Linked DNA regions of Notamacropus eugenii. The protein of the gene in region 1 interacts with the protein of each later gene in a biochemical or structural test. Links are inferred from orthologs where the notes say so. Each region holds a gene or a part of one and is shown in the gene's direction. Other genes may lie near its edges.

Region 1 (7,503 bases):
CCATATTAGACTGTAAATTCCTTCAGGGCAGGGACAGTCTTTTGTCTTTTTTTGGATCCCCAGTGGCTTAGCACAATGTCTGGCATGTAGTAGGCACTTAATAAATGCTTATTATTGATTTCCTCTTCATTTGTTGAAAATGATTCTTTTTCCTTTTTAATATCGTCAATTTCACTTTTCCCTCTGTTTCTAAAAGTAAGATCAATGGCTTCTGTATTTATTAGTTTTTTCTCTGAAAAATAGCCCCTGGTTTTATTTATCAATTTTCTGAAGTTTTTATTTTGATTTTATTGATCTCTTCTTTGATTTTCAGAGTTTCTATTTTTTGTGTTCAGTTGGGATTATTATTTTTTTTAATTTGTTGCAGGTTTGTAGCTTTAAAAAATTCCCCTTGCTTTCTTTTTCCTCTTGGCTACTTTCCTCCCTCTGCTTTTAGCTTCCAGCTCCAGTGGCCTTATTTTGAAGGCAGGGTCAGTTGTACTGTCTGCTGTATTTTGTTGTTATGAAGGTTTAAAACACACACACGCGCACACACACACACGCACGCAGAATGAAACAGCCTTTCAAAATGACATAATTTCCAGAGGAAGTTGAAATGGCGTTCTCATTAAATCTGGTCCCATCAGCCCATCTAAGCCCAGCAGGCTTTGTTTTGGAACTAGTTTGTTAACACCAGGAAGCCTGCCTGTGGTTCTGGCTGGAGTCAGGGCCCTCTCTTCTGGGAGCTGCTCTTTACACTGAGGTATCTGTTAGGGTCTCTCCATCTGGTTGCCCCTGCCCAGATTACTCAGTAGTGGGTTAATTAATAACTAGGCAATGGTTTTCCTATTTCAGGGGAGGAAGCATTGACCCTGAAAGTATACTGTAGGTCCATGGTCAAGTTGTGTTCTGTGCTTTGTATGAATATCAGAGCTGGAGGGGGGGTGGTGGCGGGGGGGGGGGGGGGGGGGGGCGGGGATCTTAAAAGAGAGAACAGGAATAGTTACAACAGGAAGAACTTTAGACTAGCACAGAGCTGGTACGATCTTAGAACACCAAATGTCAGAACTAGGAGAGACCTTGACTACTGAAGATACATATGGGGAGAAAGAAGAGGTGTGCTGGTAAATGCTTAACTCAGTTCTCTGATGGGGGAGCAGGAGGATATACTCAGGACATCCTTAAAACTTTAATTTGCATTATTAAAATTTTCTTCATCACTTTCTTAAAGGTAGACAATCAATAGAGTCAAGTCCTGGTAACCTTTCTCTAGAGGTAACTAGATGGTTGGTAGATAAAGAGTCAGGAAGATCTGACTTCAAATTTGACCTCACTTGCTGTGTGATTGTCTGTAAGTCACTTACCAGAGACTGTAAGTGAAGGTAAGGGTTATTACTATGATTGTTTTTAGAAGCAATTGGTGTTAAGTGACTTGCCCAGGGTCTGAGGCTGGATTCGAACTCAGGTCTTTCTGACTCCAGAATCCTGAATCTATCCACTGGACCACCCAGATGCCCTCCCCTCCCCCAAATTCACAACAAAAAGATGAAATAGATGAATAGATTTATTAAGTGCCTACTATGTGCCTGGGCTGTACTAAGATAATGTAGCACAATGGAAAGATCACAGGAATAGAAGTTGTGAAAGATTACAGCCCTATTATTAATATAAACAGCTGACATATGTTCTCTCATCTGAGCCTCATTACAACCCTGGGCAGTAGGCGCCATCACCATAACCTGCATTTTATAGATGGGGAAAGAGAAATTAAGAAAATTTGAACTCAGACATGTTAGGATCTTAAGTCCAGCATGCTACCTACCCAGCAGCCTTCAGAGCTGTACACTTCTTGAGGAGGGATTGTCTTTTGCTTCTTTTTGTAGGAGCAGGATACAAAATGTTCTGTTTAGCATTCAAAGTCCTTTGTTACCTAGCCCTCTCCTACCTTTCCAGTCTTCTCACCCCTTATTCCCCACCATGGACTCTTCAGTCCAATGACACTGGCTTCCTGGCTGTTTTTTGAACAAGACCCTTCACCTCTGGGCTTATGGCATTTTCTCTGGCTCTCTCCCAGGCCTGCAACACTCACTGTCTTTCTTCTGCTTCCTCTAAGTCCCAGCTAAAATCTCACCTCCTACAGGATACTTTCCCCAACCTCTCTTAAGTCTCGTGCTTTCCTGCTGTTAATTATTTCCTATTTATCCTGTATATAAGTTGCTTTGAATAAACAGTATTTGTATACTGTATGGGATACTGTATGTATGTATAATGCATGGTGTCTCCTTCATTACATTGGATGCTCCATGAGGGCAAGGACTGCCTTGTTTGGCTCTTTTTGTATTCTACCACTTAGCATACTAGATGCTTAACAAATATTTAATGAATTGAATCCCCAGAGCTTAGCACAGTGCCTAGCACATAGTAGGTGTTTAATAAATGTTTATTGATTGAAGGATTCTTAGGTTACCTAGCCAAAGTGACTTGCTCAAGGTCAGCAGCAGAGTTGGTATTTGATCTCAGGTTCTCAATCTCCAGAGCTCACATTCTTTAGAGATTCCCTGATATGACTCAGAACCCTTCATGGGAGCAGAGACATTCCAAGCTGGAAGGGTCCTTCAGCATCAAGACGAACTCTCATTTTACAGATGAGGAGACTGAGACCCAGAAAATCAAAATGCCACCCCTCCCCCCAATCAGGCAGTGGCAGAGCTGGGATTTGAACCCAGCCCATCTTCCAGGTAGGGGAGTCTAAAATGGTATGGATTGCCCAACATTGTACATCCTGGGGAGAATTCAGGACCCTCCACGGCCGACTCTGGTCCTTCCTGTCCCTCCCACCCCCCACCCCAGCCGACTCTCCTCTGGCGCCCCTTCCACCTTTAGGTTGCTAGGTAGATTCCAGCCATCTGAGTTCCCGCTGCCCCATTGGTTGCAGGTGTTCAACTTTTGCGTTGGGAGGAGGCAGGGGACTAGCCGAACGCAGGTAGCCCGTCCGACTCTCCGATTGGCTCTGAGCCTGCGGCATCCCCTTGAGGATTGGCTCCAGGTGGCCATCCGGATGGGCTTCCTTATTGGTCACCAGGTACTTTGCTCCCTCTCTCCTCCTACCGCTCATGCCCGCGCGCCTATTGGCCGATCGTTCGGAACTCGGCCAATCCGCCACGTTCGGACCGTTCTAGACGGGGTGGGGTTCAAGCCCTTCTGAGCGAACTTCAGTCCCCCCTGCTTCGGCCCCTCCTTCTTAGCGTGGGCCGAGCGCGCGCGCCCCCTACTCCCCCAGGGTTGTGGTCGCGCGCTCGGACCAGCCACAGGCCAAGTTCTTCCCGGCTGGACTATCTTCCGGGGAGTAAAGTTGGGGCTAGGGGAGCAGAGTTGTCGGGCAGGGCCGGGGGTGATGCCTGGGTTCTCTCCTCTGCGGCGCCCTCAGTGGGTGAGAGGGGTCAGGGAGAAGGGGCTACAGCCTCAGTAAATGTGTGTCCTCCACTCCCCGCTAAGCTACCCCCCAGGATCTCTTCGAAGCCCCTCTCGAGGCTTCCTCCCCCTAATCCCGTACTCAGGCCGGATGTCCCCACCCCATGCCCAGCCCCCTAACTTCATCCTCCCTGAAGGTTTCCCATTTACCTAATGGACTGCAAATCCCCTTCCCACCTCGTCGTCTCCCACAAGCTTGCCCCCTTCCCCAGAACATCGCTTACCCCAGGGTCTTCCAAACACCTCCCCCGATTCGTCTTTCTCCACATGCCTGCCCCTTCCTCTTGGTTTCTTTGGACTTTCCCCACCCCAGGGTTCTATCCCTGGGCCTCAGTTTCCTCATTCGTAAAATGATAGGATAGTACTGGATGGCTTTTGAGGACCTTTAGCTTCATACCCAAATCCGTGACCCATACCAGCAGGCAAATTCCCCTTTGTGACTCAAGGATTCCAACTCCACCCCCACCCCCTCCATTTCCAGTCCTTCTAAAACATCCCCTATCTGCACCCCAGCTTTGACCCACACGGATTCCGGACCTTTAATCCGCTCTTCTCCCAATTTCCTTTTATTCTGGAGGTCACCCCCTAGTTCCCCGGCTCCTTTTACCACTGGAACTCCCCACTCCACATCCCTGTCTCTTTCAGGAATCCCTCGGTCCCATTTTCCCTTTCTTGCACTTCCCCTGCGACCCATCTGTCCCCAGCTCAGGTCGTTAGTGCAGCTTTCCAGTGAGAACTTCGGAGAGCAGAGTCCTTCCTCTTTGGGTCATCATCATGTGTTTGTCCAGTCCCCCCCATCCCCCCTCGGCTGGGTGTCTAATCCCTGCCCAGCCCCCTACTTCCCCACTTCTGGTGGCGGGGAGAGGGTGGGGGCCTCCGCCAAAGGAAGCCAGTAGGTTCAGCCCCCAACCTGCCCCTCCCTCCTCCTGCTCCGGCCCCTCCCGCTCCTGCTCCTCCTCTTGTTCCTGCCCCTCCTCCTCCGGGAGTCCAGCCTGCAGGTAGGATTCTGCTTCCTTCTTAGCTCCTGGGTTAGAAATGTGACCTGGGGGAGACTCACTCCCTGGAGACCCTGGACGTCCTAGCCTCGCTGTGGCCCTGTCCCAGAGGCAGACGTTTCCTGGCTTGGATATTTGGGAAGGGAGTCGGGAAAACTTCCCGGGGGGGGCTCTTCCCCGCCCTCCTTCCCCTCCCCCCTTCTTCCAGGTAGCTCCGGGCACAGACAGCGCCCGCTCCCGGGGGTTGCCCTCTCGGGGCGCTGCGTCGGCCCTGGTGTTTCTGTTTCGTCGAGTGGGCCAGGCGGTGAAATGGAGAGCGTGCCGTGGCCACCGAGCCGGGTTCCGAGCCCCGATCCGAAGCCCTGAGCCCTGAAGCCCCTGCCGGCCACCGCTCTCCGCGCGCACTCCGGACGCAGACTCCGCTGGTTGGGATTACTGCCATGCCGAGCAGGATGGGGTCCAAGACGAACGTGGGCCGGGAGATCATTCGCATTAAGGCACACTACAACGGGTGAGCCAGCGGCGCCCACTGCCCCGCACTCCCTCCCCAGAGCCCTCCCCTGCAAGCCTCGCCAAGTTGGCGTCTGTTTGCTGGGCAGCCGTGGAAAGTTTGTCCCTTCTCCCGGGTCGGTGCTTTGGCAACAAACGGGGGGAGGGAAGTGGGGGGGGCGGAGAAGGAGGAGGTGTAACAGTCCCTGCTGGGGGGGGGGGGGCTGTCTTTTCAAAGTCTCCCCTTTGCGACTTAATGAGCAGTAAACTGTAGCGATTACTGGAGCTAAACTTTTTCTTCTGAGTCTTAGTTACAAAATGTAACAGTGACTCATGAACAAAGCATTCCGGGGCCGGGGCTCGGTGAAAGGAGCCGTAGCAGGCTAGGCGGAGCCGAGTGTCCGGGTTTACCTGTGAAATGGGCCGATGATTTGTAAGCTGGTCGTTGTAGACCTGTTTCTGCCCCTACAAAGACCGAGTAAGGAGCTTTGCAAAACTTAAAGTTTGAACGAGGTGAGCGATTAATCCGTGAGAAGCCCCCGAGTGGTGTGTGTAGTCGGTTGGAGCCCTGACGACTTGAGTTCAAATCCCGCCTTAGGTACTTCCTGACTTTGGCATCCTGAGCCCAAGCAACTTGACCTCCCGAGGCTCCAGGTACCTGTTGAATTGCCAAGAAGGGGCGATCCGGCACTGGTGACTCGGGAGGTTTCCTCACCTCGTACTGGTGAAGACACAGGTGCATCCTTATGCCTTATTTAATACAGTGTGCGCCACTGAGGGCAGGGTAAGAAGGAGCCGTATTCTCCAGCTGGATTTTGTAATTGTTTTCATTTTTCATTTGTCTAGACCTATAGCGTTCTCTGTCTCTGTCCCTCCCTCTCACCTCATCTACAGCTCAGATCTCTTCTGGGGGCACCGAGACATTCCTAGACTTGCCCAGAATCACACCACCAGTATGTATCCGAGGCTGAACTTGAACCCAGGTCTGCCCGACTCTAAGGCTGGGTCTCCATACCCTCCATCAGAGCTGGCTTTTGGCAGTTAGCCTAGCATACAGCGTTTTTGTATCTTTGCCTAGCCTCTACTCTAGTAGAGTGATATATTCGTAGCGCATTTAGGTCACTGAAGTTCTCAGGAGTCAGAGGACTTGGGTTCGAATACTATGCTTCATTACTTGTACGATCTGGGGCAAATCGTTTCCTTGGGCCTTATTTCAGTTCCTTATTTTGTAAAATGATGAAGCTACATCAGATGACCCCAAGAGTCTCTTCAGTTCCAAGTTCATAATCTATGATCCTATATAAGTTCCTTCCAGTCTGGGACTGTCACATATGTTCTGTACATGACCTGGGACGCTGGGTATTAAGATATTCCTTTTTCCTCAATCTTTTCTGTGTCCTGGACCTCTTGGGCCAGCCTATGGTCCCCTCTTCAGAGCCATCTTTTTTAAATGCATAAAATAAAATTCAGAGGATTCCAAAGGAAACCAATTCTATTGAAATAGTTATCAAAATAAACACCACCAAAATTCATTGCCCCCACATTGAAAGCACCTGCTTTGTTTCTCCTCACCTGCATCTCTAGGCCTTTGATTCAGTCCCCAGAGTTGTGCCATGGGCTAGTTGGTACTTTAGCAGAGTAGGTTTATAGGAGATGGTTTTCTCTCTCTTTTTTCCCTTTCTTTCTTTTTTTTATTTTTTTTTTTTACCACTTTAATCTGGGAAGGGGAGAAAAATAAGTAGTCTAGTCCTTTCACTGTAAGGAAATTGTATGCAGCCAGTAGCCTTCCACTGGTTTAGATTTCTTCCTTGAGTCTGACCCTGGATTCCTTGGCGTATTGTAGCTAGTGAGCTTAACCCATGAATTGAATCCACTCTCCTGAAGCTGGACCCTTGGCTCAGTAAAAGGGAGAGGTTTGTTTGTTTTTTTTTTAAGCCTTTCATTCTCAGTCACTTTCTCATTTTTGAAGTTAAGAGCTCTCAATTCCTCCCCCAAGTCCAAAAACCAGCCAGATACAAGTAGCAATCTTTTGGAGAGAACACCTCTCATCTGAGGAGGTTAAGAGACTGAAAATAGTATTCATATTTTTTTTGTTTGTGAAAATCTCAGCTTGGTATTTGGCTTGGAAAACGACAGAAGAAAGCTTATTATCCTCTTAGGAAAGGGGCACACACAGGTCATCGTGAAGGGCTCACATTTTGGTCATTCATTTCATTTCTTTAAGGAATACACTGGTGACCTTTCTAAAATTAGACTTTGCTAAAACTTCAAAAAAAGTTTTTAGAATCAGAAAATGTTTTTTGGAAATGCAAAATTATTCCCTATTCTTAAAAACAAATCCTTTTTATTGGAAATTAATTCTTGTTACAATCCGAAAGAGAAAGCCTTCCGGATGAATTCCATTGTTAGTATTATATTATATAAAATGTTATCTCATAACATCCCATATCCCTCTTAGCATCCCTAGCTTCCTTCAAGGCTTACTCCCTCTTGAAATTAACTGGTCTTTATTTTGTAGAGTCAAGATGCAGAGCTGACCTCAAAGTCCTGAGAACCTTAGTTCAAGGCT
Region 2 (7,820 bases), on another chromosome or scaffold:
AATGATGGACTTGGAGTAAATCTTAGATATTTATTAGCTCTGTGAGTCTGAGTAATCAGTCCACTTAGGTCTCAGCCTCCCCATCTGTAAAACAAAAGATTTTGAGTTCATGAGTCAAAGGTTCCCTTCTAGCTTAACAGGATCCAGAAGATTCCAACTTCCCTCTCTATCTCCTCCCCTTCTCAATTCAATAACAATTTATTAAGTTCCTATAATGCACTAAGCATGGAGAATACAAAACCAAAACCAGGTCCTGCCCCTAAGGAGCTTCTATGGGGGGGAGGGAAGAGACGAATACGGTGCACACAATTAATACAAAGTAATACAACAAAAAATACAAAGTAATAAAGTAATTTTCTGGCATGAGGGAGAGTATTTAAAGAGGATCAGGAAAGGCTTCTTAGAGGGATTGGCATTTGAATTAAGTGTAGAAGGGAGCTAGGGAATCCAAGAGGTAGAGGTAAACAAGGAGAACATTTCAGGTATGGGAGGTTAGTTTGTGCAAATGATTAGTTTTCATGGAGCAGCAAGTGGGCCATTTCAGCTGAAACACGGTGCATGAGAGAGAGCAACGTGAAATCACTGTAGAAATACACATCAGGGCTAGGTATTTAAGGAGTTCAAAAGGCCAGAGAGGTTCACATTTTATCCTAGATACAATAAAGACCTAGTGAATCTTGAGCCCATTGTGAAGGAGAGTGAAAAATGGGAAATGACTCCGTTGTTAATATGAGTAATACGAAGGAAGGTGATGCTTGAAACAGAAATAGGGGTTAGAAGAGTGGGTAAAGATATAGAGTTCTATTTTGGACTTTGTGTTTGAGATGCTTATAGATATGCTCCAGGAAACACCTCTCCTCAGTCACTCCAGGTCCTGCCCTGATCCAGGGGCTTCTAATCATTGGTGAGAGTTTACCGTATCTAGCTTATCCAGATGCACCATCTTAATGGTATCCCGCCCTTTTCCTCCCTCAACATAACCTAGCCCATTTTCCATCTCCATCTCTTGGGACAAAAATCACTCAATTCTACTATTCCAAGTTAGGGTGTATCATTTAATTAACTGATGACCACGCTCATCATCCCTAAGTCCAGGGTGGTGGGTTAGAACCTTGCTTTAGCTTCTTGAGGGCAGGAACTGTTTCGTCTAATTTTTTTAATTGCATATCCAGTGCTTCACACAAGCTAAGTGCTTAATAAATGCTTTTTCACTGATTTATTCTGGCAGCTAGTTGGCTAGGGAAGGGTTTCCCTAGAGAGAAAAGAGGGTTGGATATGCAGATTTGGAAGTCTCTGCGTATAGGTGATAATTGGCCCCACACATGGGGAGCAGGATATGATGAATGATGATCTAGTGAAGGAGACTGAGAGAGAAACTTCAGACAAGCAGGAAAACTAGAAGAGAGTGGAAATCTCTTGCAGACCCAAGGAAGGGAGAATATGCAGGAAGAGAAGGTTAAGTGTTTCAAAAGCTGCAGAAAGACGAGGACTAATACCTTGAGATTTAGCAGATAAAAGACTGGCAGTATGCCTTAAACCGAATAATTTTAGTGGAGCTGAGTGGTATCAGAAATTATATTACATTTACTTATTTGTATAACTGTAATATCTCCTGGTAGAATGTAAATTCCTTAAGGTCAGGGATTATTTTGCATCTTGTCCTTGTGGAGGACCCAGAAATAGGATCCTTAATAAATATTTGTTGAATTGATTTAAAATTCACTAAGGGTAAGTCTCTCTCTGACCTCATTCACTCATTCAGATGAAATGAGTACCTACTATGCAATAGCTGTACTCTAATGAAGAACAGGATATAAGATTTCTACTGTAGAGGTGAATGGGGATTTGGGGGAGGGTTGGATGAAGGTAGATTAGTGTCAGTCTCATAACTTCAAGAGCTTTGAATAGCTTGGGAAAGGCTGAATCACAGGCTGAATCTGTAATAGGAAAAGGACCTGGAAGGGGATGGTCCCTCCTCCCCTTTATCAAATTTAAACTATTTTTTTACACCTCTAATTACACAGTGATGCAAGCCTTTCAGTGAATTCCTCTTTGGAGAACCAGGAAGCATAAGCCTTACCCTTGCATCTAGAAAGGAAAGTCCATGTAAGGGAAACCACACCCTGAGGGGGCATGACAACACCTTCAGGAATGCAATGCCCACACGAGGCTGGCTTATGTACATTCCTGTTAGGAGAACTCTGATAAATCAGTATTGATAACATGAGGTTCTGAAACACAGTTATAAACCACCATCCATACTTTCTGGACAGGCTTTCTCAAAAGACTCTTTCTCCTGGATCTGTTGGCTTAAGGGTATATTTTGAGAGGGAAATAGGTGGGCTTCTACAAAACCAGTATGCATTTCCCAAGTTACCAGGCCAAATGAGTAGTATTTCTAAGAAGCCCAAATGTCTCCATACCCCAGCCCCAAATCAATGAATCAATAAATCAATAAGCTTTTATTATGTCCCTAAATATGCCAGGTAGAGTGCCAGGTACATGAGATAAACATACAAAGAATGAAACAAATCCTATTTATATTTAGGTGAGAAGAGCAGGTCATAAACCAGGGTCTTTAATTACTTATGTGGGCTCCAGCTCACTTCCTCTCCTAAGCTCTGAAGAGCAGTGGTAGGAGACCTCTAGGCAAGCAGAAATGCTGTGGAAGAATTTTCTTAAGAGATCCAAATACTTCCCTCCTCCCTTAGGAATGTAGAGCCCCTCCCAAGAACCTTTTAAGAGTTATCTCAAAAATGATAATAATACTTGTACTTCAGAGATCCAAGGAAAAAAATCCACCTTACAAGGTTAGAACAGATTTAGAACTGGAAGGGAGGACCCTTAAAGATCATCCAGTTCAACCCTCATTTTAAGGCCCTCATTTTAAGGCTAAAGGTACAGAGCAGCTAGGACAGCTGGATGCACAGTAGATACAGCCCACGTCTTGAGTCAGGAAGACATCTTTCTGAGTTCAAATCGAGCCTCAGACACTTACTACCTATGTCACCCTTGTAAATCACTTAACCCCATTTGCCTCACTCCCATAACTTTTGCCAAGAAAACCCCAAATGGGGTCATGAAAAGTTGGACACAACTAAACAACAACACAGAGGTCCCAAGAGCCTAGCTGTAGGAAATATAAAATCAAGTGGTTTTAAATTATGAGTTCTCCTCTAGACCTCTTTAAACTAAGGGAAATCACAAAGCTGTTCGAGCTGTTCTTTTGAAACTTTCTCACTGGTTAGCAGAAAGAGTGAAAAAGGTCAAGGGGCAAATTCCCTTCTTATTCCCCTCCAGGTAAGGTGGAGTCCCTAACCTAGAAGATCTTGCTATCCTGCAGGACCGATGGAATAACTCACCTGAAACTAAGGAAGTACCCAGATAAAGCAATTTATCTTTGTTTTATCCTTTTTTCCAAAACACTTAACTAGGAATATGGTGAATCTCTGCTATACCAGTTTATGGCTTATCCCTCCCACCAAGGTACAAAACCGTAAACACTATTTAGGAAGGACACACTCTTAGCTAAATTTGGTATTTCCTAGTACTGTTCTTTGCACACAGTAATGATAACTAACATTTCTGCAACTTTTTAAGACTTAATGCTTATGCAACATTTTCTCCCATAAGATAGGATTATTCCCATTTTACAGATGAGAAAATTGAGTCTTAAAAATGCAAAGTAACTTGTCCAAGGTCACAGATAGCACATAATTAAAGTTAGAGTATGAACCTAGTTTCCATAATTTCAAGTTTGGCATTCTTTCCACTCCACAGTCATCTTTAATAAACCTCACATGAGAATTTGTTGGTCCAAGTACAAATGACCCTGGGACTTCTTTCTGGAGTTTGGGAACTTGCCCTTTGGGAAACATTTCTAGAAGTCTCCGGTTTTCTCTCCCCTCCAGGATGACAGATAAGGGTTAATTTGTTGGTGAAAAATAGGTTCTATTTCTACCAGGGAAACTTAGAAGATAGCGGACATTTCTGAACCCAAAGAACATGGCCCGGATGGTCCAGTCTAGAAAAGTGCAGGTCGGGGTTGGTGGTCGGAGTGACGAATATCTAAAGGTGCTAAGACAGCATTTTAAAGCACCAGGAAGGGAACTGACTGAGGAGGGACTGGGAGGAAAAACACAGCGTGTTAGCAACGGGGAGCGGCTCAAAATTTAGGCGAAAAGTCTAAACTCAGGTAGCGAGGGTCTTCCAGGCCTGTCAAATACGAAGGCCCTGCGACCAACTGCGCGTGTGCCACCCCAGGAGCAGCCTACCGGCAAGGCGGGCAAAGGCTCATGCCCAGAGGATGAGTTATTTGGCCGCGGTAACCTGTGAACCATTAAATACCAGGGGGCATTCATTTTCAAGTTCCTCCAAAAGGGGAGCGGTCGTCATAAATGACGCCTCCAATTAAACGGGAGGCGGCTGGGGTGTGGAGACTCGACGGCTCGGCCCCAGCGCTCGGGGGCCCAGCTCTCGCCCTGGCCGTCCCGCGGAAGCCGAGGCTCCGGCTCTCTCCATGGGTAACAGGTGACACTTCTACAGCGCTTTCCAAGGCGTTAAGCGCCTCCCTCCACCGCAGGTGCTCACTCGCCCACGTCCCAGAACCCCAGCCCGGAGGAGGCCAGGAGCGCGCCCCCGCAGCCTCGGGGGCGGGGAGGGGGGAGGGGAGAACGGCCCGAGGGCTGGCGCCTCCAGGTGCGCTCTCGCTTCCGGCACAGACCCCCGCCCCTCCCCCGTTCTCCAGCTTCTGCAGCGGAAACTCCAGCGGCCACGCATGCGCTCTACTTCCCTGCTTAACAGCGGTGTAAGGAGGGGTTGGATGGGGAAGGGGTGGAGACCGCCCCCGCTCTTCAGGTGCTCCCCCGGGCGTCTCTAGGCGGGCGCTGGGGTGGGAGGGGCGCGTGACGTTCCCCTTCCCTCTTTTTTCCTTTCCTTCCCTTCCTCTTCATTCCAGTCAACTAGGAGAGCTTCTCGGCTGTGTACCGCGGCTCTGGCCCCTGGGCGGGCGGGAGGAGTCAGTCGTTCGGCTTCTCCTGGGCCTCCGGAGTCGGGGCCGGCAGGTGAGCGCGCGCACCGCAGTCGTGGCGACTCCCCGCCCCCCACACCCGGATAACTGCAGGTGCGTGAGGGGCACGCGCGAGGTCGCGCCCGCTGAGGACGAGGCTGAGCGCTCGCGGCCGCCCCCTCCTCCCGCTCGAATCTCCTGAGCCGCGTCCGCGCCCCCAACCGGGCGGCGCAGGCCGGAGGCGCTCTTTCTCCGTCGCCCCCTCGCCCCGGGAGAGGAGGCCGCCTGGGGCAGACGGCCCGCCCCTCCCCCCCGCGCTCACCATGAACCGGACTCCCCGGCACGGCGCGGGCAGCGGCTGCCTGGGCACCATGGAGGTGAAGAGCAAGGTGGGTGCGGGGCCCCGGGAGTCTGCGGGAGCAAGACTGGGGAGAGGGCGGGGGTGATGGCCCGGCGCCGGGGCTGAGAACTCGGGGAGGAACCTGGAGGGCCCGCCTGCCCCTGCCCTGCCCCGGCAGACTGGCGAGGATCTAGTATTGTTCGCCGGAGCTTGACCAGCATTCCTCCCCTCCGCTCCCCTCCCCCAGCTCGTAACCCGCAGGTGAGAGTAGGAAGGAGGGGATCACGCCCGAGTGAAAGAGGCAGATGGAAGGGGAGAACTTGATTGGGCTTGGGTTCTTGGGCTGAGTCCACCTCGCCGTGCCCCCGCTCACCGGCCGGGGAGTAGGAAATGGACTTCAAATTCGATCTGCTTCCTATCGTAGCAAAATGAGGTCCTGTCTCTTAACTGGTATTGTCATCTGTTTACTCTTTGAGAGTATTAACTCATCACAACAGAATTTTAAAATTTCACTAATGCTTCACAGCAGAACTTTGGTCTGTTGAGAACACCCAAGAAACAAAACCCAAACACTTAAAACGTGAAATTATTTAACTATTTACAAGCCAGCGTATGAGCCATGAAACTAGTTAATTAAGATGTCGACTGAACCTGAGTAGTGGGTTTATCACTGATGTCACTGAAAACCATCTATTAAAAGTGTGATCAGAGGTTTGGTGGGAAAGGCTTTCTTAAATGAGATTGATTTTTAACTGTGAATTTGGAGGAGGAGACATGCATAAGAGACAGTTCAATCCCAATAAACCTTTCCTTGAATTCAGCTAATATTAACTGGATGGAACCATGTAGACCTTGTTCAACCTCTTCTCTCCCACCCCACCTACACTCTGGAGTCTGAAGCTCAGAGACCTGCAGAAGATCACATAGTTTGTGAGAAAACTACCGTATTCCGCTTTAGGCTTTGGGAGATGTAATGCCTATCAGAAGTTTGCTGTAGGGGAATCCAAAGCATGGAAAGCGCCGTGAAAATAGCTACAAAGTAGATACAAAGTAATGTATCAAATGCAACATAATATTGCATAATTGAATTCCTGAGTATCGACGGTTTGCCGAGTGAGAGTAGTGATCCGTGGAATGAAGGTACTGGGGAGAAGTTTCTTAAAGGATACATAGAAGAAGAAATGCAGTCTTCTTCAGGGGATGATGACCGTGTATTTACAAGTTTTTGATCTTTAAAATGAGATCGAGGATATCCACATTTGCCTTGTTTTTAAAAGTTAACATTTGAAACTCCATTCCGTGTGTGTGTGTGTTGTAGAGTTTGGTTTGAAACTGTATGCACTATTTAATCAGCATAAATGTAGTCATCAAATCAAACTTTAGACTTGGATTTTAAAGAACATACTCTCTCTTCATCCTTCATGGAATTCTCATTGCAAATTGAATTTGTTGGCATGACAGTAATATGATTAAAAATAAATTTGGATAATGCTATAACAGTAACGAGTCCATACAAAGATGATTGAGATGCCTTTCTGCAGTTCTATCACCAGATTTGGTTTTGTGGGAGCTTAGGTTGACAAATTCTCAGGTATGGTCCGGTCTCAGAAATAGGCATTAACTTCTACTTAGCCAGTTGGTTTTAACTTTTTAAAAATGAATTAATACTCAATCTAAATATTCTCTCTTTAATATTGGAAAATTTTAAATTGTTTTAGACCCCACAATTATGAGCATTTGTTATGGTGCCTTGCATAGGGGTCCTAAAATGCATGTTGAAATAATGTATCTCATAGGATTGTACTTTAAGAGATTTTCTGTTTTTCTACCAGTTGATTTAAAATTCTCACACGTTTGTAGTTGCAGTTAAACCGTTTAAATGGCATATTTGAAATGTTAAAGTTTTTATAAACATTTCCTTTTTATACAGCCATTGGAAAAGCTCAATTTGAGATACATATTCTTAGGAAAGTTTTTTAAGCTGTAAAGAGCTATATGTATATAGAGCCTGCTGTTATTCTCTTAGCTTATGGTAAGTAGATAGGCAAAGCATCAATACAATTTCTGTGTTCATATTAAGTTTTAAGTAAATTTTTGTCAGTAAAATTGTTTTGAATGGTGAAACTGAATTGTTTCTAAGGTATTTTCTGGAACTTGGACAGATTTACTTTTAAAATGATAAAAATGGTAGCCATGCCTTTTTTTTTTCTATTTTCATATAAATATATTAAATTTTAAACAACTGTTCTCTGTCGTGTTTTACTATACAGGTTTTGTCTAATGGCATTGAATTTTAATGTACCATGGCCATAATCATGATAAAAGTTGATTTCGTAGGAATCAATATTATTACTTGGCTCAGAATGACCCTTAAAATGTAGGGGAGAAGATATCTATTTCTTCCCATTAAGCAAGGGTATTCTTTGAAGTTGAAATGTATTTTTTTTTTCTGTAGCAGATTTACTTAATTAT
Region 3 (7,971 bases), on another chromosome or scaffold:
CTAAAATCTATGATCCGATAATTTTGTGATACTCTGGATAAATACTTATCTGCTAACACTTTAAAAAGAGAATGTTATGATTTCATAAGTGTCAGGAGGAAATGACTATAAGCTGGCAGGCGAGGCACATGCAAAGATGACTACTGGCACATGTGATTTCTATTTACAGTCACTGGCAAATTAGCAGAAGCAGTGTGGAGAAGGACAATGCATTGCATTCATTGTCCCCTGCCCAGTGTCAACTGCCAAGTGTAGGATGGTAATGTTGCCAACCCTCTTTCCTCACTGGCCTGAGTCACTCATATAGATGTCATTTGGACAGCTCCAGAGTGAGTGGATAGCAACATAAATAGAGAAAAGTTGGAGAAGGAGAAATATAAGGGAAAGCCAAAGGATCAAATTTTTGGAGAAGGAGCCCAGACTAGGGAAGCTATCATAGAGAAATCCACTTCAGTTTTCTCTAGATCCTTGATGGTATTTACTAGTAGTTAGGGGCTACTAGGTGACTCAGTGAATAAAGTCTCAGGCCTGGAGTCAGAAAGATGAGTCTTCCTGAATTCAAATCCAGCCTCAGACACTTAGTAGCTGAATGACTTTGGGCAAGTCACTTAATCTAATTTGTCACCATTTCTTTATTAGTAAAACGAGCTAGAGAAGGAAATAGCAAACCACTCCACTATCTTTGTCAAGAAAATCCCAATAGGGATCTGGAAGAGTTGGATCTGAAACTGAAACTAGTAGTTCAAGGGTCACTTAGATTAGGGATCATAGAAGTGTGTAGACTCTGTTTTCTGGTCTACTTGACTCCCTTATATTTGTCAGTCCCTTTCAGACCTTCCTAACACTGACTTGAACTGAATTCATAAAGTTAATATGAAGCCAAATAAGTAGAGGTGAACCTATTGAACAAAACTGTAAATTTGGTCTTTGGTATTTCCATCATCTCTTTTTTCTAGCGTTCTTGCTTCCTTATATGATGACTCCCACCACTAGCTCAGATATCAAATAGCCTAATGCTTTCTTACCCTTATCAAAACTTCTTCAAAGGAAAGAAGGCAACATTATGCAGTGGAAAACACTGGAAGTCCTGCATTCTAGTCCTGGCTTTGTCACTAAGGAGATTTTGACCATGGGCATATAATAATGTAATTTATCTGTGTCTCAGTTTCCACAACTGTAAATTGAGGCAGTTGAACTATGTAAGTTTTAAGGTCTCTTCTAACTCTAATAGTCTATGGTCAGATAAATTATTCATACTAAAATGTAAATAGCTGCTAAAACTCCAAGCATTGTGGAAAGCATGTCTGATTTGAAGTCAGAAAACCTGGGGTTGTATCCCAGCTCTGGCTTACTACCTTTTACCCTGGGCAAATCAATCACTATCGCTAGAACTCAGTTTCCTCATCTGTAAAAGGAGGGAGAAGGTTGCTCTAGATGGCCTCTAAGGTCCCTTCTAGCTTCTAATCACTAATCATATGATTTTATGTTCAAAATATTCCCCTTAGGAGTATTTTTCATTTTAAAAGTCATCATCAGGGACAGCTATCTAGACCAGGTAGCAGGAGAGGGTTCCTGGGGACTTAGGACATAGAAAACTTTTGGCAAGTTTCTTGAATTCCTATAAAGCTCCTACCAGTGTAGTGCCTTCTAGAATCCTGCCCCTGACTCTAATGGTGTGACCATGAGCAAGTCCCTTGAACCTGTTTCTTCACCTGTAAATGGAGAGCATACTTGAAGTACTTGTCTCACAGGGTAATTGTGAAGATAAATGAGATGGTACATACAAACCACCGCAAACTTTAAAGCGTTAGATAAATGTCAGTTATTGGAAGAAGAAAAAGAAGAGTCATTTCTGACTAGGAAGACTTCATGGAGGAAGTGGCGTTTAAGCTGGCCCTTAGAGGAAGTTTGGGATTCTAACTAGGTGAAAACAAAAAAAGGAGGGCTTTCCAGGCACAGTGACAAACTGGACTAAAACTTTGAATGAATGGAAGGAAATCTCCAGGCTAGGGATCAAAGGAAAATCAGATGAGAGTGGAATCTGGACCTCTCCATGTTAGGAAGCTCCTTTCTTGGTCAATAGTTTCTCTTTATAACCTACCTACCTACCTACCTATCTATCTATCTATCTATCTATCTATCTATCTATCTATCTATCTATGCATATATATATATATATATATATATGTATACATATATATATATATATATATTCTGAGTCTATAAGTAGCTGAGGACCGAGAAATCTCCTCACAAACTCTCTATTTTGCCTGTCCTTTGACCTCCAGTTCTCAACACTTTGGAGTCTTAATGCTACCTTTTCTGCTTATCTTTAATATAATGGAATTGTTAATCCTTTTTTCCCCAACATTCCTTTCTAGTACACTAATAATATTGAGTGTGCTTTTTAAAAACAAATATTCCTAAAGAAAAAAATGAAACAAAATAGTATGCAATAGTCATTACAAAGGCAGTGGTAATCAGAAGTGTTTATTTATATTCACACATACACATACATATATATGTATACACACATATATACATATGTACGTATGTGTGTGTGTATGTGTGTATATGAAGCTAGCCTGCATGGCTGGAATGTCTTCCAAAGTTTACTTTATCCTATCTAACTCAAGTCTCATGGCTGTCATTATTCTCCAGTTCTCAGAAAACAATTCCTGCCCTCAGGACTCTGTCAGTCTGGTGTCACTTTGGCTGACTGGAAATTGGCACTTTAACTACAGAACATGTTCCCCTCTAGGTTCAACAAATTTAATAAATTTTAAATGGTTTATGCCACTACACCCTCAGAATACAAAGATGAAAAGTGAGGCAGTTCCTAATGGAGGCATAGACCCTTACATAATTAGGCGATAAAAATACTGGATTGACTCAGAACAGCATTCATTTTATTTTACAACCTAAATCTGAATCTAATCCAATTCGAAAGCCAAGATCATTGGTCAATACAATTTATACATTCCTATCAATAGCTAAGTAACCTTTATCCTTACTCATCTGGAATATATGGGGGTAGGGAGGACTGAGGGGAGGGAAAGGGTAGGAACACTTGGATCATCAAATCAAAAATATTATAGTCACTTTGAAACCCGAATTGATAAAATAACCCTTTCCTTTCATGATGGATGGTGAGTAGTGCAGTTTGAAGAATGGTGCACAGGGCCAGGAGCAGAATTAGAGGATGCTGGAAGGGTGGCATGCAGGTTGTGGAGATCCTCACTACCTGAATAAAGAGTTTATCCTAAGATATCCAGGTGGAGATTTTCATGAGGCAATTGGAAATGCCAGTTTGAAGTTCAGGAAAGAATTTCAGGGCTGTAAATGTGGAGGGTAATATGGGGTGGGGGTGGGGAATGGGAACTGATAAGACTGGTAAAAGAAAATGTAGAGAATTAAGAAGAAAGGACAGAACTTAAACTATCAGGAAATAGAGAAGCCACTAAAGGAGAGCTAGAAGATACAGTAAGAAGAAGCAATAAGAAATGTAGAATGAGGAAATGTATGTTGTTCTATGAAGAAGGCAAGATGGGAAAGAATATTGAGGATCAAGGAATGGTCAGTGATGTTAGATGGTACAGAAAGGTCAAAAAGTGATAACTCCTGAGAAAAATTATTTGGATTAGACAACAAAGTGATCTTTCAGAGGGCAGTTAGCAAAACATAGTGGGGATAAATACCAGTCTTTAAGGAGCTGAGGAGTGGTGGGAGGGCAAATGGAATAGACTACTGTTTGAAAAAGTTTGGTAAGAAGAAGAGAAATTGGAAGAGTCCATGAAAGCTTTTTTGTTTTGGAGAGGTCTGGCCACGTCGAGAAAACTTGGGGCGGAAGGGGAGGAAAGGCGGAGAAGTAGCCTGTGGCAAGGAGAAAGTTTAAAGATGAAGATCAAAGAGGCGTTGAACACTTGCCTTGGCCTCTCAAAAAGGAGCTGACACTTTCTTCCCTTTTAAAATTCAAGTGCTTCCTACACAAACTATACCTGGTAACTTCTCTCAATATGACAGAGTAGAAAAGGTGAGGTAGAGGGGGTCCTCATGTACGTGCACTGGGTGGATCAGATAGGAGAAGGAAGATGAAAGGGCTTATTTAAGCTGCAAGGAGGGCAGAATTGCCAAAGGGAACTATTTACAAGGTGGGCTATCCCTAAACTGAAGGAGCGGTCCCAGTCCTACAGACTCCTCCATTTCTGGGACCCAGGATTGGGTAAAGGAACGTGCTAAATCCCCCTTATTTACACAAGGTAACTGCACCTAGTAGCTCTGCTCAGAGCTGGAGGGAATAGCAGCCGGAGACGCAGACTTCATGGGGGGAGAGGGGGACTGCTGGAGGAGTCTCAAGAGGAAGGAGGCATTCTGGGTCGGAGAGGCAGAGCACAGTGTGTCTAGGTGGGGCTGTCTCGGGAGGGGAGTCAGCTACGAGTCAGCCCATGTGTTTACCTTGTTCACAGGAAGCCGTAGGGTAAAGAGGAGGGGAAGAAGAGTGAGTGAGTGTCCCTGCTAGAGCTGCCTGTCAGTCACCAGCTGTTCAGCTCTAGAGAGCAGACCTAGTCTTTGAGTCTCCCCTCCAGGGCCAGAGCGCTAGACTGGGGCTGACACTGCGGAAGGTAGCTGGGCATCCAGGAAAGCAGGGTGGCTAGTCCCCCAAAGCCTACACCTTCCGTCTACACTTTCCCCCTTCCTGGACCTAAACGCCAGGGAATAGCACCCACACACAGAGATACACACACACACACACACACACACACACACACACACACACACACACAGATATACACACGCGCGCGCGCGCGCGCGCACACACACACACACACACACACACACACACACACACACACACACACACACACACACACACACACACACACACACACTCCCCACTCTCCCCAAGCTTTTCCTGGCCCCTCCTCCTCCTGTCTCTGCTGGTGCACTGCCTTCGCCTCCTCTCCTCTCCTCTTCACCCCACCTGGGGGCGGCTCTGCTCCAGGGGGAGAGGTCAGCGTGCCTCTCCCCCCCCGCCCCCCCGCCACCCCCTCGCCTGTGGATGCGGTAGCCCCTGGAAGCAGCCGGAGGGAGCGAGGCGAGCTGAAGACCCGGTGCGTGAACAACAGGGGTAGTAGGGGCTAGGGGACCTCCAGGGCCCTTTGTCTCCTAGCTCATCTTTCCCTGGCCCTAGGCGGGGAGAGGGGGCGGGAAACTGGCCAGTGGGGCGAAATAGTGAGAAAGCTCTCTTCGACCTCCCTCGTTTTCTCTTTCAAAGGGATGGGGGCAGAGGGAGGAAGCGATATAACTCTGTCGATCTTCCGAGCGCGGATTTCCAGTGGGGAGGGGGGCGTCAGAGAAGGACCATTTGCCCAAGCCGGGGGGGAGGTGAAATTGTCCCAGCGGTGTGAGAGCGGAGGCCGATACCTGAGCAGCAGCAGCGCAGGTGGCCGGGTTGGAACGGGCACCACCACCACCTCCTTTTCCCGGGGCTGCAGGGTCCGGGCAGGTGCCGGCCCAGCTCCGAGACGTTTCCTGCGTGGTCTCTGCCCCTGACCACACCGAGAGTCCTTTTTCTGGATAAAAGGTGTTTTGTAGGAGGCAGGCCGACTTTTCTTCACGTAGGTGCGGCGGCAGCTGCTCCAGCTGGAGGAAGGGTCTCCTGTCGTCCGACCCAGCTGGGACGTCGGGCGGGAGGGTGGGTTTGCTTGCCAAAGGGGTGGATTTACCAAGTGTCACTTTGGGGGAGGACCGGTGTCCCCCGGCCTGACCCTGCCTTTGGGAGCTTCTCGCGGGGGAGGGGTTTAGTGGAGTCTGGTGGTTGGCAAATGTTTAAGGGATGTTGCCTTTCACTGCTACAAAAGACATTCCTATCAAGAAACAATGTATCCGAGTGTTTTGTTGGTTTCTGTCTATTTATTTATTTAATTGCAAACCTGTGCTGCGCGTTCCTCCAAGTCCAGAGTTTCAGTTAAGGAGCCGCAGCCTGGGTTTCTTGTGTAGCTTCCGGTTTCAGATTATGGCGTGTTCTCACTGCTCCGCTGATCAGTTACCAAACTTCTCTCTGGCCCAGGAGCTTAGCAACTGGAACTCTGGAGTAAACCCTTTCCTCCCGCTCTCGGCCAGTGCCCCAGCTGCCCTCGCTGGCATCCCCGACCTCTGCTACCTCTGCTGCTTTCCACACCTGCAGTACCGACTCTAGGGGCTACTTTCCCTAGGACTCCTGACAAGGAAACTTTTTCATTCGTGATTCTCCCTCTTCCCCTCTACCCGCCCCCCCCCCCCCGCGCCCCGATTTCTTTTGGTCTTATTCAACCTAGTCCCTGGCATCCATGAGTCAAAAAATAGCTTCCCAAGGGTGTGCCTGTTTTGTTTTTCCGTTCCTGTCTCTGACAGTTCTTGGGTTTCGGTAGATTCCCAAGAAATCCATTTGCTTGTGTTTCAGTCATTCTGCTTTCACAAAGGTGTTGTAAAGATGTTGTGTAGGTGTTGTAAAGACCTGGTGGCAGTACCCTGTCAGGGCCTAGTGTAATCGAGTTTTTTAGAAAGCTTGATGAGAAGGAGGTGGAAATTGAAGTCCTTGGAATTGTTGGAATTCATTATAACGCTGGAAGGACGAATTCTCATTCTTCCTCTGTTTCGCTGTTACATTATGAGAATCAACATGTTCAGTTTTTTCCTTGAATCTGTGTATGTGTGTGTGTGTGTGTGTGTGTGTGTGTGTGTGTGTGTGTGTGTGTGTGTGTAATTTTTTAAAGTTGAAATATGCCCCAGAAGGGCTGTGAACTCCAGGTGATTTTATTGTTGTTGAGTCGTTTCTGAATCTTTATGACCCCGTTTAGGGTTTTCTTGGCAAAGATACTGGAGTGGTTTGCCATTTCCTTCTCATTTTATAGATGAGGAAACTGAGGAAAACAAAGTTTATGTGACTTGCCCAGTCACAACTGCTAGTGTCTGAGACCGCATTTGAACTCACTTCCTGACTCCAGGCCAGGCACTCTCCACTGCGCCACCTAGCTGCAGGGGAAACCGGTGTAATAACGAGATAAGAGGTTTGAGTTGGAAGACCCGAGGCTTATCACCGACACCCCCCAACTTTCCGACCCTCCCCCCGCCTTGTACATACGTTGAACAAGTTTATTCATATTTCTGGACATAGGCTTTCTCTTCAGTAAATAAAGGAGATTCGACTACATGACCTACAACAGACCCATAGATAGAGTGGAAAGAGCTCTAGAGCCCAGGGTTCCGAAGACTGGTTCTACCACGGTGTTGCGAGATTGGAAAAATCACTTTACTTTTCTGGACAGCAGTTCCTTTATCTATAAAATGGGGACATTGGACTAGATCATGTCTTAAGTACCTTCATTTTCTATTGGTTTAAATATTAGGGTTTCTAGATTAAAAATTCTGTGATTTCTATAAATGGCTGTCTCTAACAAAGTGGTATAACCCAGAAAATAGAGGTGCAAAGTTAAAATAAATCATCTTTAAATAAAAGTTTAATTTATCAGAATGCTCAGAAAATGTACTGTTCTCAATTCAACAGTCATTGCAGCATATTTGTAATTTTAACTATTGTTGAAAAAATGTCTGTATTAGTCCACTTTCTTCTTTTAGCAAATAGGGAAACTGAAAATAAGTCTTTCTTTGATGACTTTGATGATAATTTTGAGCACCAGTTATCATTAGACAATTTTGTTGCTTTTGTCAGAAAGAAGACAACTTGACAGCTAACATACTGGGGATTTAAATTTTTAAAAACTTCCCTTGGCATCTTCACTTCCTTTACCTGCTACCTGCTTTTATTTTCCACTGGGATAGGTTAGTTACTTTCACACAGTGGGTGATTAATAGATGTTTGTAGAATTGAGTTGTTATGAATATTAATTTTGGCATATTGTCACATACAGTTTCTTTTCCAGAATGATTAAACTATTAGTCTGATACTATTTTATAGCTTTATTATTCTAA

The links.
Region 2: the proteins of PRKCZ (region 1) and PARD6B form a complex in vitro, tested with the Homo sapiens proteins (2 studies listed by BioGRID). The link is inferred for Notamacropus eugenii from reciprocal best matches to the Homo sapiens genes PRKCZ and PARD6B.
Region 3: of the proteins of PRKCZ (region 1) and MBP, one has a biochemical effect on the other in vitro, tested with the Homo sapiens proteins (2 studies listed by BioGRID). The link is inferred for Notamacropus eugenii from reciprocal best matches to the Homo sapiens genes PRKCZ and MBP.

Annotation. Positions count from the first base shown.
Region 1 is NC_092876.1:36,088,490-36,095,992, forward strand, and holds the start of PRKCZ (protein kinase C zeta type), read left to right. Parts: upstream 1-4,420; 5' UTR 4,421-4,885; coding exon 4,886-4,956; intron 4,957-7,503. UniProt on the Homo sapiens protein: Calcium- and diacylglycerol-independent serine/threonine-protein kinase that functions in phosphatidylinositol 3-kinase (PI3K) pathway and mitogen-activated protein (MAP) kinase cascade, and is involved in NF-kappa-B activation, mitogenic signaling, cell proliferation, cell polarity, inflammatory response and maintenance of long-term potentiation (LTP).
Region 2 is NC_092872.1:516,101,011-516,108,830, reverse strand, and holds the start of PARD6B (partitioning defective 6 homolog beta), read left to right. Parts: upstream 1-4,773; 5' UTR 4,774-5,331; coding exon 5,332-5,397; intron 5,398-7,820. UniProt on the Homo sapiens protein: Adapter protein involved in asymmetrical cell division and cell polarization processes. Probably involved in formation of epithelial tight junctions.
Region 3 is NC_092875.1:205,449,729-205,457,699, forward strand, and holds the start of MBP (myelin basic protein), read left to right. Parts: upstream 1-4,942; 5' UTR 4,943-5,111; intron 5,112-7,971. UniProt on the Homo sapiens protein: The classic group of MBP isoforms (isoform 4-isoform 14) are with PLP the most abundant protein components of the myelin membrane in the CNS. They have a role in both its formation and stabilization.